2 linked regions of the Pelodiscus sinensis genome follow. The protein of the gene in region 1 interacts with the protein of each later gene in a pairwise test. Links are inferred from orthologs where the notes say so. Each region holds a gene or a part of one and is shown in the gene's direction. Other genes may lie near its edges.

Region 1 (7,554 bases):
AAGTCCAACCTGCTGCCAAAAGCAGGACCAAGCCCAACTAAATCATCCCAGCCAGGGCTTTGTCAAGCCGGGACTTAAAAATCTCTAGGGATGGAGATTCCACCCCCTCCCTAGGTAATCCATTCCAGTGCTTCCCCACCTTCCTAGTGAAATAGTTTCCCCCCACTAAAACTAGACCTCCCCCACTGCAGCTTGAGACCTTTGCCCCTTGTTCTGTCATCAGTCACCACTGAGAACAGCCTCTCTCCATTCTCTTTGGAACCTCCCTTTGGGTAGTTAAAGGCTGCTATCAAATGCCCCCTCACTCTTCTCTTCTGTAGACTGTCCAAATCCCTCAGCCTCTCCTCATAAGTCATGTGCTCCAGCCCCCTAATCATTTTCAGTGCCCTCCACTGGACCCTCTCCAATGCGTCCACATCCTTTCTGTGACGGGGAGGGCAGGGGGGGCAGAGGGGGCAGAAATTGGATGCAGTACTCCAGATGTGGCCTCACCAGGGGAATAATCATTTCTCTAGATTTGCTGGCAATGCTCTTCCTAATGCACCCTAATATGCCATTAGCCTTCTTGCTACAAGGACACACTGTTGACTCATCCAGTTTCTCATCCACTGTAATCCCCGGGTCTTTTTCTGCTGAACTGCTGCCTAGCTAGTTGGTCCCCAGCCTATAACAGTGCTTGGGATTCTTCCGTTCAAGTGTAGGACTCTGCACTTGTCCTTGTTGAACCTCATCAGATTTCTTTTTGCCCAATCCTCCAATTTGTCTAGGTCACTCTGGACCCTATCTGTACCAAAAACGTATCTTCCTCTCCCCCAGCTTAGTGTTATTGCTGAAGGTGCAATGCATCCCCTTATCCAGGTCATTAATAAAGATGGTGAACAAAACTGGCCCCAGAACTGACTCCTGGGGCACTCCGCTTGACACCAACCTCCAGCCAGACATCAAGCCATTTATCACTAAGCCCAACAATCTAGCCAACTTTCTAGCCACCTTACAGTCCATTTATCCAATCCATACTTCTTTAACTTGCTGGCAAGAATACTGTGGGAGACCATATCAAAAGCTATGCTAATGTCAAGATATATCATGTCCACTGCCTTCTCCGTACCCACAGAGCCAGTTGCCTGGTCATAGAAGGCAATCATGTTGATCAGGCATGATTTGCCCTTGGTGAATCCATGTTGACTATTCATGATCACTTTCCTCTCTTCCAAGTGCTTCAAAATGGATCCATTGAGTATCCCCGCTATGATTTTTCTGGGGACTGAGGGGTGGTTGTCCGGTCTGCAATTCTCTGGATTGTCCTTCCTCCCTTTTTTTAAGATGGGTCCCACTCCTTCCCTGGTCACCCTCTTATTGCTAACATGCCTGTAGAACCCTTTAATGATTCCCTTCACATCCCTTGCTAGCTGCAATTCCAATTGCGCTTTGGCCTTCCTGATTACACCCCTGCATCTCAAGCAATATATTTATACTCCTAGTCATCTGTCCAAGTTTCCACTTCTTGTAAGCTTCCTTCTTCTGTTTAAACTTGCCAAGGATTTCACTGCTAAGCCAAGCTGTTCACCTACCGTATTTGCTTCTCTTACTGTGCATTGGGAGGTTTGTTCCTGTGCTTTCAACAAGGTTTCTGCCAACTCTCCTGGATTTCTTTCCTCTTCATGTTAGCATCCCAGGGTATCCTGCCCACCAGTTCCCTGAACCAGTCAAAGTTTGGTTTGTCTGTTTGTGTGTCTCACTGTTCCCCAGCTGGGGGACATGCAACCCTCCCCCTGCTGTACCCACTGCAACGGCAGCAGCCATGGACAGGAGCTTCTCACCTTGTCCCAAGCTGCTACAATGAAAGAGTTCTGAGATTGTCCTGTATACTCAACCCATCATTCCTCACCCCATCCCAGAATCATGATTTAAATGAAGAAAAACAAAATTTATTTGAGTTAAGGCCCTGAGCAATGCCAGGTAAATCTTCTAGTTTTCAGTAAATGTGGTGTATTGCCTTTTCCCCTGAAAAAGATCCTGTGTGCTTCTTATAAGTATAACATCCTGAGAGTGGAGGGGAGAGATCTGGGGGTACAACCTCATCTGCTCTAATCCCACTCTCATCCCACTGACAGAGACCATAAACTTCAAAATCTCTACCAAATCATTTGTAAATTTCAATTACCCACCCGGGGAAATAAAAAAACAAATTGAAAGAGCCAGACGAATACCCAGAAACCATTTACTTTAAGATAGGCCCAAGAAAACCAATAATAGAACACCACTTGTCATCACCAATAGCCCCCAACTTAAAACCCTCCAACGCATTATCAATAACCTACAACCTATACTGGAACAGGATACTACAATCCGAGAGGCTCTGGGGGACAGACCCATAGTCTCCTATAGACAACCACCTAACCTCAGGAAGATTCTTACCAACAACCACAGGACATACCACATTAATACCAACCCCAGAACTTTCCCTTGCAACAAACACCGCTGCCAACGTTGTCCACATATTTACTCTGGTGACACCATCACTGGTCCTACCTAACCATGTCAGTTATATGATCAAGAACACATATTCCTGTTCATCCAGAAATATAATTTCTGCCATCATGTGCCAACAATGTCCTTCTGCTATGTATATTGGACAGACTTCTCAGACACTTCGCCAAAGAATTAATGCCCATAAATCAGACATCAGACATCCTCACAAGGAAAAACCAGTTGTTTTTCATTTCAGCCTAGCTGGACATAGTCTTAACGACCTTACTATGTGCATCTTACTTCAAAGAGACTTTAACACCAGATTACAGAGGGAAACTTCAGAACATTCATTCATGCTTAAATTTGACACTTTAAGAATAGGCCTTAACAAAGATACTAATTATCTTCCCCATTACAAGATAGCTTCCCCACTTATCACCTCTGATTAGCCATTCATTGACTCATAAGTAGCTATTCCCTCCCTCTCTCCCTCTCACCCACCCCACCTTCTGTACTAAATCTGATTTGTCAGTTTAATAATGTGTTCACTTTTTTCATTGTATTCCTCTGATATATATGGTTATGCCAATTCTCTTCCAGAATATGATCTGAGGAAGTGGGTCTGGCCCACGAAAGCTCATTACCTATTAAACCATCTTAGTCTTTAAAATGCTACATAGTTTTTCCTTCTTAAGAGAGAAAGTTTCAATGTTGGAGCAGGAGATGATGAAGATTGGTACTGAAACCTCCTACAATAACAGTGCATGGTAGAGTGATGGGCACCAAATATGAATGTCATAATAAAGGAGAATTAAATTTTCTATTGCTATCTTATTATGTATCCCAATGTAAACAGGAACATGCTAGGCAGAGAGGGGAATTCTCTGCTGGCGACAGTGATTTCCTGAGGTATAAAATCAAAGAAGAATCATGTGTGAGACATTAAATTTAGGTAGGAAGAAAAAAAGGCTCGGTGTTTGACAGGTATCTGGCAGCCAGTGTGAAATGGTCTCAGGCCACTTCTTACCAGACAGGTATCCATGCCACACAACTGCTACTACATCTGCCATTAATAGGACTCCTTGCTGGCTATCTTAATAAAGGGAGATGGGTTATGGAAAATGAGCTCCCATCTCAGTGTTAAAAGGGTGGTCACTCCATGGCAAGGCTGCATTAAGGGGTGCTGTATCATTGCCAGTTTGGGAACTGATTTAATGTTTAGAGAGCGGGGTGAGAGAGACAGAAATTCCATGGCTTCTCACTTTATTGAGAAACTGCTTCCTCCTTTGTGCATTCTGGGCTCAATCTAAAGCCCTTGCAGGCAAGGGAAAGACTTTCCTCTTCCTTCTTTCCTTAATTGACTTCTTCTCAACTTTCATATCATATCTGCCTACAATGAGAAATGGGAAAGCCTGGTATTTGGCTGCAGCTTCTTGACCAAACCTCCTGTCCAGCCTAGGCTTCTCTCTCACTTTTGCATGCACATCTAATCACCATGGGGCTTTTTATTGAAATCCAAAGAATAGTTTCTGCCTGACTATAAAGTAATCCTGACAACTGTAGAGCTCCAGGATCCCAGAGCTGCCCCTGCCAGTGTCTGCCTTGGCAGGACCAAGCTCCCATCCTCTCCTCCTGCAATCAGTTTCATGACCCCTCTTGTGGGCTGTAATCAAGGTGCATACTGTACTGTCCTCTGCCAGAATCCCTCAGGTTTTGGGAATCAGAGCAGAAGAGAGCTCCCCAGAGCAGAGGCTGGAGTTAGACAGTTCTGCAGGCACCTCTGCATCTTTCCCAATCATTCTTCCCCCTTTTTCTCATGTCTTTGACTCTTTAATTCTCTTTCTCCCGCTCTTTCTCCTCCCTCTCCGGCACGCTCCCTCCTTTCTATCTCTTTTTCTTCTCTCGTTTTGCTTTCAACCTCCTCGCCTCTATCGTTAACCCCTGTGAGGCGCGGTGCGCCTGGCTTTCCTCTGGAGTCCCTGCAGGTGTCGCTGTCCGGTTTGTACGCCTCTGGCTGCGGGATGAGTTGCTCACTCCAGGCCGGGGATTGACAGGCCGTGCAGGAGCAGGGGAGGGGGGAGGACTGGAGGAGGAGGAGGCAGACACAGAGAGGCAGCGAGAACCTGCAATCCAGGCAGCGCCGCCTCTGCCTTTCAATCCGCAGCCATCCTGCTCCCTGAGCCCCCATCTACCCTCCTGACTCGGCTCCCCAGGCAGACCCGGCTCCCGACAACCACCACAGGTGGGTATTGGGGTCGGCTGGCGGGGCTGAGAGGTTTTATTCAGGGTGGTTGATGCGGCGGGGGGGGGATGGGACCAAGGCAGCCCTAAAATGGAGCCTGAGCCAGAGGCTGCCTGGAGCCCGGAGGGAACCTGCCCCAGGCTTCCCCTCCCCCTCTGGTCTCCATTTCAACCCCGTCTCACTCATTCACGCCACCCCCCCCCCCCGGCTGTAGCGGGCCGGAGCCCAGCACCCCAAACGCCGCCTTGCCCAGCGTTCCGTGCCCGCTTCGGCCCAGCCCGATCCCCGCTTCAGACCCGTGCGCCCCGGAACAAAGCCGGGGGATGGAGCCCCGGGGAGCCCCTCAGGGCGCTTGACCCCGGGTTCGGAGGGTTGGGGGGTGTGTGTGTGTGGGGGGGGGGATTAGCCTCTGGTCTCCCCCAGCTCAGGAAGCTGGAGCCGGTTTGTAGGCTGCAAAGCCCAGTCCGCGATGGAGCCTCCCTCGGTTCCCAGCCGCAGATGCGGGGCCTTGCGAGGCGGCCCCCACGCCCAGTTGGGGGCTGAGAGGCGTGGGGACCGGGTTCACCTTTCAGGCTCTAATACATCGGGGGGCTTTGTTTAGCTTGGTGGCTTGCTAGGTTAGCCCGTTCGGATTGTGGGTGGGTTTTTCTTCAAAGAAAACCCCCGTGTATTTGAAGGCTTCAATATCTGAGGAAGTGGGTCTGGCCCACGAAAGCTCATCATCTAATAAACCATCTTGTTAGTCTTTAAAGTGCTACATTGTCCTATAGGTGAGAGGATTATTCTGGGAGGGGTGGGTGAGATTCTGTGGCCTGCACTGTGCAGGGGGTCAGACTAGATGATCATAATGGTCCCTTCTGAGCCTAGAGTCTATGAGTGTTCAGCCTCATTGTTTTGGTTCTGCACTCGGGTCATGGGAGGCCTGATCCATGTTGCTGCTACTGTTATTACAAACTGCTAAACCCTCCCCCATCTGGGATTATTAAACTATACGCGCTACAGTACAGTTCTGTCTCCCAGAGCTTCCTGCCCAGCCCCCATTGCTCTGCTACGGCACACACGGTGGTGTATGAAACAGTTTCATTTAACACCGTTGTGCGTGTTATTGACTAGTCGATTTTTGGGGTGGTCTTTTTTGCAAAGGCAGTTGAAAATCGAAATCACTCTTTTGATTTGACAGCGATCAGATTCTTGTTGCAGTGGATGTTTCAATAAGCGTTTGAAGCTCAGCTGAGCAGCTCCGATTGTTTTATTGTAGCTGTGCAAAGAGGTTCCAGAGACTGAAATGCAGTTTGTGGGGGTGTGTTTACAACGCAGCTTCTGAGGCTGTGAAATGCGGTAGGGATGTTTCTGGTGTTTGATGCTGGATCTTGGAAGATGCATGTGGTTTTATTAAAAATGTATATTTTATTATTAACAAAGATTTTACTACCTCTGGGTTCGTGGGGGTGTGTGCTTGAAACTGGTCCTGGCTCTATAGATAATGTTGTTTCCATGCATCTCATAAGAATATGTGGATATTTCGGTTAGCAGAACTGTGTGGGCTTTGTGGTTGCAAATGTTATTTGATCCTGAGTTTTGGGTTTTGTTATGAAAATTTTTCCTCAGAGGTAGAAAAGACTCTGGGTACAGAAAAGGTGATAGAGCAGCAGAAATTTTGGAGGCAGTGATTGTATTTGATGGATTAATACTTTCATATAATGATGCATTTTTATGTTAACAGTATTAATATTTGGCAAAATATATACAAGTTATGAAAACATTTAAGACCCTGTGTCTCTTTCTAGAAACTGCATGGGAGGATGGGCATTGATCCTGAAAGCTGCAATACTTCCTCTTCATTATTAGCAGACAGTGCCCCTCATCTTGCAGAACTGAGTCCTGAATAAGGATCTATAAGTTAGTTTAGAACTTCCATGGCAGTAGTGCCTGCATGCCTCAACTAGAGCAGCAACTGTTGTGTGAGGTACTTTGCAAACATAGAAGATGATAGTCCTGGTCCCCAAAGAGCTTGCATTGGAGTGTTGGCATATGACAAGTGGATTTGCCAAATATAAACTTGCAGGATACTACTTCAGGACCTGAATTTTTCTGAAATACTGTGCATTCGTGTCATCCATCCATAACTTCAATTGGAATCGTGGTTGCTCAATGTCTAAAAGCCAAAGTTTAGGGACCAAGGACTGGGATAAATTCACAGGGGTAAGGGAAGGAGGAGCCCTGAGTAGCTAAAACTTTAATTGCACTTTTGCTTCTGTAAATAATTTGGCCCTGATTCTCAGACCTACAAGTGGGTAAAACCTTGGGCCTATGCAGAGCCCCATTGAAGTCAGTGGTGTGGTGTTCAGGGTGGGTGGAGAAGTCATGTTGCTCCTCATAGACTGAGGTCTTTAGAGATTTTTTTCCCCCATCTGTTGTTTGAGGTGTGAAGGATTAACAGGACTTCATTGTTAATCTTTATTTTCATGATGTCCTTTCTGAAATGTGCTTTCACATTAAGGCATAAGAAGATGTTGTCAGGTTAAAAATTACATTAAAAGTTCATAGAGGATTGGCAAAATTTAAGATTAAAATCAAATGTATCTTTCATTGCTCTTTCTGAATTTTTCTTTTTGAACTTAATTTGACTTTCACATTGAAGAGAGGATGGTCTGTTTTCCTTTTCACTTGACTAGTCAATTAGTTGTTAAAGGGAGTGAAACTGCATGGTTAGCTTCTGGGCTGGGAGCTAAGCCCTCTGTGGCTCTGCCTTTTAAATGTATTAAGAGCTGCAAGCGCAGCAGGGTGGCTGGGGGATGGGTTAGGATTGTGAGCTGGGAATCAGTTCCCAGTGCCCTGCT
Region 2 (7,532 bases), on another chromosome or scaffold:
GGTGCAGGATCTGACTGGGAGGTGGATTACAGGAGGGGGTGAGGGTGCAAGGTCTGGGCGGGGGTGAAATGCAGGAGGAAATTAAGGGTGCGAGTTCTGGATGGGAAGTAGGGTACAGGAACAGGCTGAGAGCAGGGGGTCTGGCCAGGGGAAGGGGACAAGAAAAAGGAAGATGCAGTGTGTGGCCAGGAGGGAGGGTACAGGAGAAAGGGTGGGTGCAGGAGTGGGCTGGGAGTAGTATGTCTGGCCAGGGGGAGGGTGAAGAAACAGTGGTGCGGGGGCAGGAAGGTGTGTGTGTGTGAGAGAGACGTGGCGGGGAGCACCTATTTGTCTTCAGGCCCTGCGCTGGTCTCACGCACTGCCTCCCGCTGCTCCCATTGGCCAGATTCTGGTCATTGGGAGCAGCAGGGAAAGCCTCCAGGCAGCGCGTCCAGGCAAAGCTTGGCAGGCGTCACAGGGCGCATGTTGCAGGCGGCGACTCTTTAAAGCGGCATGTAAACTGAGATGCTGGTATTTGGTTGCCCTGGAGCACCTGCTCTCCTCCATGATGGTGGTGAACTCTCAGGAGCGGCCCCACGTCTCCCAGCTACTTGATCAGCTGGAGGGGCTGCAGCCAGCCGCAAGGGGCCAGGCCACCACCCAGATCTGATCCGGAGGCCCTGCGTAACTGAGGCAAGACCAGGACTGTGTGTGAAGGCTGGAACTGCTTTTAAAATGGAGCTGGAGATTAAATGCAAAACAAGGGCTGTGGGGTAAAGTCTTGCCAGTGACTGGCTGGCACATGCCATCTGCTTCAGGACCACACTGGGCATCCACCCTGCTGCCAGGAACTCAGACAGCCTTGGCCTGGCCCTGCTGAGGGCACACACCCTGAGTCCCAGGGTGCCCCTGCCAGGAACACCTGCCCTGGGCTTTGGTGCCCTGTCCTGGTGCTCCACTTTGGCTGGGGAGGCAGAAGGGATTAGCACTTCACCTGTCTCCAGCAGTTACGGCATCAGCATCTCCTTGGCCCTGGAAAGGGATGCTGCCTTCTGCTCCTCAGTCAGAGATAGTGGGTGTCCCCTGGGTCTACGCTGCCCCCCTGGTTAACAGCTGCAGCTGCGTTCTTGGGCAGCTTTTTTTCCACCTTCTGCTGGAAGGGAGGTGGGCTCAGCCTGTGGCCTTCCCCCACGTGGGGTCAGTCTGGATTTTCTGTCCAATGTGTGCGGAGGAAGAAACCCAGGTGCTCCTGCAGAGCGCAGTGTGCCAGCCACTGCTCAGTCTCCAGCATCTCGCACACCACAGACCATTACCAGCTCCGGTAGCAACAGTACCCCGTGTGGAGGGGGAGAGGAAGTGCATCTTCCTCGTGAGCCTGATTGCGCAGCAAGGCTTGGGGCTTTCTCTCCACTCCCACCCCCAGCAGGAAGCCGGCGCAGGTGCTCCAACCTCATGAGGAAGGACAAGGCTGCAGTGCCAGCACAGGCTCCCTGCTACGGAAGAAAGGAGGGAAGACTGAGCTCCAGCCACACACCACCTGCAAGCAGCTGTGGAGCCCCCCTTACCAACTTGGGGGCACTTAAAAGCCACAGCCCAGACCCACGTGGTGGGGGCATGGAATTCCACGTGTTATACTGAACCTCACCTCGCCACGTGGACTTCAGCTGGTCTCCTGAACATAAGAACGGCTGTATTGGGTCAGACCAAAGGTCCATCCAGCCCAGTACCCTGTCTGCCGACAGTGGCCAAAGCCAGGTGCCCCAGAAGGAGTGAAACGAACGGGTAATGATCAAGCGATCTCTCTCCTGCCATCCATCTCTACTTTCTGAGAAACAGGCTAGAGACACCATTCCTTATCCATACTGGCTAATAGCCATTAATGGACTTAACCTCCATGAATTTATCTAGTTCTTTTAAACCCTGTTATAGTCCCAACCTTCACAACCTCCTCAGGCAAGGAATTCCACAGATTGACTATGCGTTGTGTGAAGAAGAACTTCCTTTTATTTGTTTTAAACCTGCTGCCCATTAGTTTCATTTGGTGGCTGCTAGTTCTTATATTATGGAAACAAGTAAATAACTTTTCCTTATTCACTTTCTCCACACCACTCATGATTTTATAGACCTCTATCATATCCCCCTTTAGTCTCCTCTTTTCCAAACTGAAAAGTCCCAGTCTCTTTAATCTCTCCTCAGATGGTACCCGTTCCAAACCCCTAATCATTTTAGTTGCCCTTCTCTGAACCTTTTCTAATGCCAGTATATCTTTTTTGAGATGAGGAGACCACATCTGTATGCAGTATTCCAGATGTGGGCATACCATGGATTTATGTAAGGGTAATAATATATTCTACATCTTATTTGCTATCCCTTTTTTAATGGTTCCTAACAACCTGTTTGCTTTTTTGACTGCCGCTGCACACTGCATGGACGTCTTCAGAGAACTATCCACGATGACTACAAGATCTCTTTCCTGATTAGTTGTAGCTAAATTAGCCTCCATCATATTATTTGTATAGTTGGGGTTATTTTTCCCAATGTGCATTACTTTAACTTTATCCACATTAAATTTCATTTGCCATTTTGTTGCCCAGTCACTTAGTTTGGTGAGATCTTTTTGAAGTTATTCACAGTCTGCTTTGGTCTTAATTACCTTGAGCAGTTTAGTATTATTGACAAACTTTGCCACCTCACTGTTTACCCATTCTCCAGATCATTTATGAATATGTTGATTAGGATCGGTCCTAGGACTGACCCTTGGGGAACACCACTAGTTACCCCTCTCCATTCTGAAAATTTACCATTTATTCCTACCCTTTGTTTCCTGTCTTTCAACCAGTTCTCAGTCCATGAAAGGATCTTTCCTCTTATCCCATGAGAACTTAATTTACGTAAGAGCCTTTGGTGAGGGACCTTGTCAAAGGCTTTCTGGAAATCTAAATACACTATAGCTACTGGGTCCCCCTTGTCCACGTTTGTTGACCCCTTCAAAGAACTCAATAGATTAGTAAGACATGATTTCCCTTTACAGAAACCATGTTGACTTTTGCCCCAAAAATTATGTTCTTCTATGTATCCGACAATTTTATTCTTTACTATTACCGTAGCTAATAGTGCCACAATTTCACATTTGAGTTCTTTCAGAACTCTTGGGTGAATGCCATCTGGTTCCGGTGACTTGTTACTGTTAAGTTTATCAATTAATTCCAAAACCTCCTCTAATGACATTTCAATCTGTGACAAGTCCTCAGATTTGTCACCTACACAGTTTTGGGAATCTCGCTAACATCCTCAGCCGTGAAGACTGAAGCAAAGAATTCATTTAGTTTATCTGCAACGACTTTATCGTCTTCAAGTGCTCCTTTTGTATCTCGATCGTGCAGGGGCCCAACTGGTTGTTTAGCAGGCTTCCTGTTTCTGATGTACTTAGAAAACATTTTGTTATTACCTTTTGAGTTTTTGGCTAGCTGTTCTTCAAACTCCTTTTTGGCTTTTCTTATTAAATTTTTACACTTGATTTGACAGTGTTTATGCTCTTTTCTATTTACCTCACTAGAATTTGACTTCCACTTTTTAAAAGATGTCTTTTTATCTCTCACTGCTTCTTTTACATGGTTGTTAAGCCACGGTGGCTCTTTTTTAGTTCTTCTACTATGTTTTTTAATTTGGGGTATACATTTAAGTTGGGCCTCTATTATGGTGTCTTTGAAAAGTGTCCATGCAGCTTGCAGGGATTTTACTTTAGTCGCTGTACCTTTTAATTTCTGTTTAGCTAACCTCATTTTTGCATAGTTCCCCTTTTTTAAATTAAATGCCACAGTGTTGGGCTGCTGAGGTGTTCTTCCCACCACAGGAATGTTATCTGTTGTTATATCATGGTCACTATTTTCAAGTGGTCCTGTTAAGAGTTACCTCTTGGACCAGATCCTGCAGGCCACTGAGGAGTAAATCGAGAATTGCCTCTCCCCTTGTGAGTTCCTGTACCAGCTGCTCTAAGAAGCAGTTGTTTAAGGTATCAAGAAATTTTGTTTCTGCATCTGGTCCTGAGGTGACATGTACCCAGTCAACATGAGGATAGTTGAAATCCCCCACTATTATTGAGTTTTTTGATAGCCTCTCTAATCTCCCTTAGCATTTCACAGTCACTATCACTGTCCTGGTCAGGTGTCCGATAACGGATCCCTACTGTTCTTGGAGCAGGGAATTACTATCCATAGCGATTCTGCGGGGAGGGGGGCATAGCTAGGGTTTGGGGGCCGCCTCTGCCCTGGCTGGGGGCTACACTGCAGAGTCAGCAGCCTTCTCTACAGACACACGCTGGCGTGGGCGAGCCCATGTAATACCATCCCCCCCCCCCAAAGCCCATGGAGGACCCCACACACAAAACCAAGGAGGCGCTTGCCATGGAACTACGCAGCCCGAGCCATGGGAAAAGGGAAGGGGGGGGGAAGAGAAGCTGGCAGAACAGCTTCGCGCATGCGCGGCAGGTGTTGCCTTCCCTCCACTCCTCCCCTCCCTCACCCCGTCGTGGCTTCCCGGCGTCCCCCGCGCGCTGTAGCGTTGACGTCACCGCCGCCCGGTCCCCGCCGCCATTGGAGTTGGAGGGTCTCTCGCTCCATCCCGGCGCCGGGCCAGCGGGGGGTGGGGGGGACGGGACGGGACGCGGAGCGAGCGAGGGCGGGCGGGGATGTGAGGAGAAGGGCCGGCAGGCCGAGGAGCGAGCGCACCCCCATCCCCCCTCGTGCCTGGGGGCCTTGCCTGAGGAGAGACCCCCCCCCCACCCCCCGGCGGGACGCAGCGGGGACCCGCCCTCCACGCTGACCCGGCCCGGTCCCGCGCGCCCCCTCGCAGGCCCAGGCGCTGCCCCCGCCCCCCCAGGAGGGGCCCGGCCTTCTCCCCGTGCTCCTCCCCTTTGCGCGGAGGGGCCCCGCCCCCCATCACGGGGCCCTGTACATGAATTATGTCTGCCACAAGCGTTGACCCTCAGGTAAGTGGTGGCCACCCCCCCCCCCGGGCCTGGGGGCTTCCCCCCACCCCGAGTGGCCCTGTTCTCCTTCCTGGGCTCCCCTGTTAACTCTCCCCTACTCTGCCTTCTCCCGGTCAGTGGCCTTGTCCAGGGAAAGCTCTGGGTAGCCCTTAATAACAACCCTACCCGCCCCCTCTCTCTAGACTCCCCCCCCCCCCCCGTGGATATTCCCCACCCACCCTGTTCCCCATTGAGCCAAGAGCGTTTTCCAAGACTAACTTGCTGGCTTGTTTTTATTTTCCTCTTGGCAATCCTGCGCATGGCATTGCAGCGACCGAAAGGACAAGATAATAAAGGTAAGGCAGGAGTTGGGATCATTCCACTTAAGTTTGTTACTGGTGAAAGCAGAGGAATCAGGCAGGCCATGATGCATGAGCCAATAGGTATTAGTTTAAAATTTGGGGTGAAATATGGAGAAAAGTGAGAGTGTTTTTTTTTTAAAGAACCTAATTCCTAAGGGTTTACATGCCGTTAGTGTCACTATTCATGAGATTGTACAGTACTGTTTAATAATAAAAACATTTAAGAAAAGCAAATCGTTAGTTATTTTTACTCTTTAGGAGATTCATTTACTTAAATTATTGGTTACTTTTTAACCTAACTTTAATTTTCTACTGTGTAATTACTCTTCTGTTACTGAACTAGTTTTGGCAAATGAGAGTTTATAGATCATGACAGGTGTCATGCAGGTTTTTCCATTAAATAATTTCAGTCTTAAGCAAACCACGTTTTCTCTGATAATGTGATATGCTTTTAGGGACCTCTGTAGTACAGTGTGTCAAATTAAACTTCAGAAGCAAGTTGTCTTTTAAGTAAATGCCCTTCTTTATAAACTGTTATGCATGTTACTATAACTGCTACCAAATACATAACTGTTTAAGAATAGAAAGGAATCAGATACTCCCATCACTTTACGTGGGCACACTTTTCAGTGTTGAGGTTATTTGATTTTTGCTTCATCAGTGTGTTTCAAACAACTATAGTCCCAGTGAGCTCTTATTTTTCCCATTTTATAAATACAGGCTTCATATTATGCATGCATTTTCCTGGCAGAATCTTAACATTATTTTTCTCTTACAGACTTCTTTGAAATCTTAACTTTTAGTTTTAGTATAATATTTCTTTTTCCTGTAGCAATATTTTTAGTTTAGCCCTCCTGTAAAAGTCTTGAGCTACTATCCAAAGACTTAATGAATACAATGTGACTTATGCTTCAAAACAAATGATGGAAATTAAGAGTAAAGTGTAATAATTTATTTATATAACACCTTTCAGCTGTGGAAGTCAGGATGATTTACAAATATTAACTGAGTCTCAAATAACTCTGATTTAGTGAAATTTCACCCCCCTTTTTTGAACAGGAAAACCAAGGCTTGAATTTAAAATTTGTAAATACTATTTGGATATTAAACACTTAACAGCCACCATTTTACTGTTCTACCTCTGATATGATTTATCTTTACTTTTTAAAGAGGCTGCTTAGCTTTTACAGAAGATCTTGCTATGTCCTCCATTTCTTCTCATGAGCTCTTGTCAAGCATTGTCTGTTTGGTTTTAAAATATTTTATGGGGAAAGTATAAATAATGTTTACTAAAATTGCGAGATCCTCTGACTGTCATTCAGATCTGTTTTGTAAGCAATAGTGACATTTAGAGTGCATGTGGGAGTTTTCATTCTGGTGAAATCTGACCTCTTTGCCTCCAGGGATTATTAACAATGCCACAAGAAGGAAGAGAGAGAACTTATTTTTGTCAAGTTACTCTAGGGTGATTTTCTTTATTGAAACGTTGTCAGGCAATATTCTAATGTGTTGCAACTTTTTGTTGTAGTTCAGAATGGTTCATTGCACCAGAAGGACGCAGTTCATGACAACGATTTTGAACCTTACCTTTCTGGACAGTCAAATCAGGTTAGTGCATCTCTGTTAATTTTGATGACTCTTTTTTTATTTTTTTATAAAGGGGTGGCGGGTAGTGTTGTAAAACCAACACAAATATGCCTTGCTTATGCCCAGATGGATCATGGTTTTAAAAGGAAGTAGAAGCTATAGTGCATGAAGTGTTACTGAGTAATGGCACTACTGTTTTAGTTAAGAATACTGGTATACATATAAATTAATAATATATACATTAATAATCTGATTTGCTCACATGTGGAAAGCAAGTTAGTGCTCCCATCTCAGTTTTTGCTGGGCACTTATAAAGTGATACAATTCCTGCAAAATCTGACATAGCTGGTAACCTGCCAAGGGCCCTGCACTGTCAGTTCTTTAATAGACAGCTTACTCATTGTTGCAGTCATTGGAGTTCTGTTTCTGTAGGACTGGTGGAAATAATGGTAAGTGACCACTAGCATTTATTTGAAGCTCTTAGAGATGCTATGACAAGAACTCAAACTTTAAGGCCAGAAGGGACCATTGTGATAATCTAATCTGACTTCCTTCACATCACAGGCCACAGATCCTCTCCCACCCATTGTTGTAGTAGAACCTAATCTCTAGTGGAGTTACTCAATTTCTCAAATCTT

Evidence for each region.
Region 2: the proteins of PRRC2B (region 1) and YTHDF1 interact in a two-hybrid assay, tested with the Homo sapiens proteins (2 studies listed by BioGRID, with this or other methods). The link is inferred for Pelodiscus sinensis from reciprocal best matches to the Homo sapiens genes PRRC2B and YTHDF1.

What each region holds. Positions count from the first base shown.
Region 1 is NC_134732.1:14,401,454-14,409,007, forward strand, and holds the start of PRRC2B (protein PRRC2B), read left to right. Parts: upstream 1-4,538; 5' UTR 4,539-4,714; intron 4,715-5,507; exon of another isoform or gene 5,508-6,052; intron 6,053-7,554.
Region 2 is NC_134728.1:6,691,414-6,698,945, forward strand, and holds the start of YTHDF1 (YTH domain-containing family protein 1), read left to right. Parts: upstream 1-4,532; 5' UTR 4,533-4,939; coding exon 4,940-4,966; intron 4,967-5,276; coding exon 5,277-5,301; intron 5,302-6,835; coding exon 6,836-6,915; intron 6,916-7,532.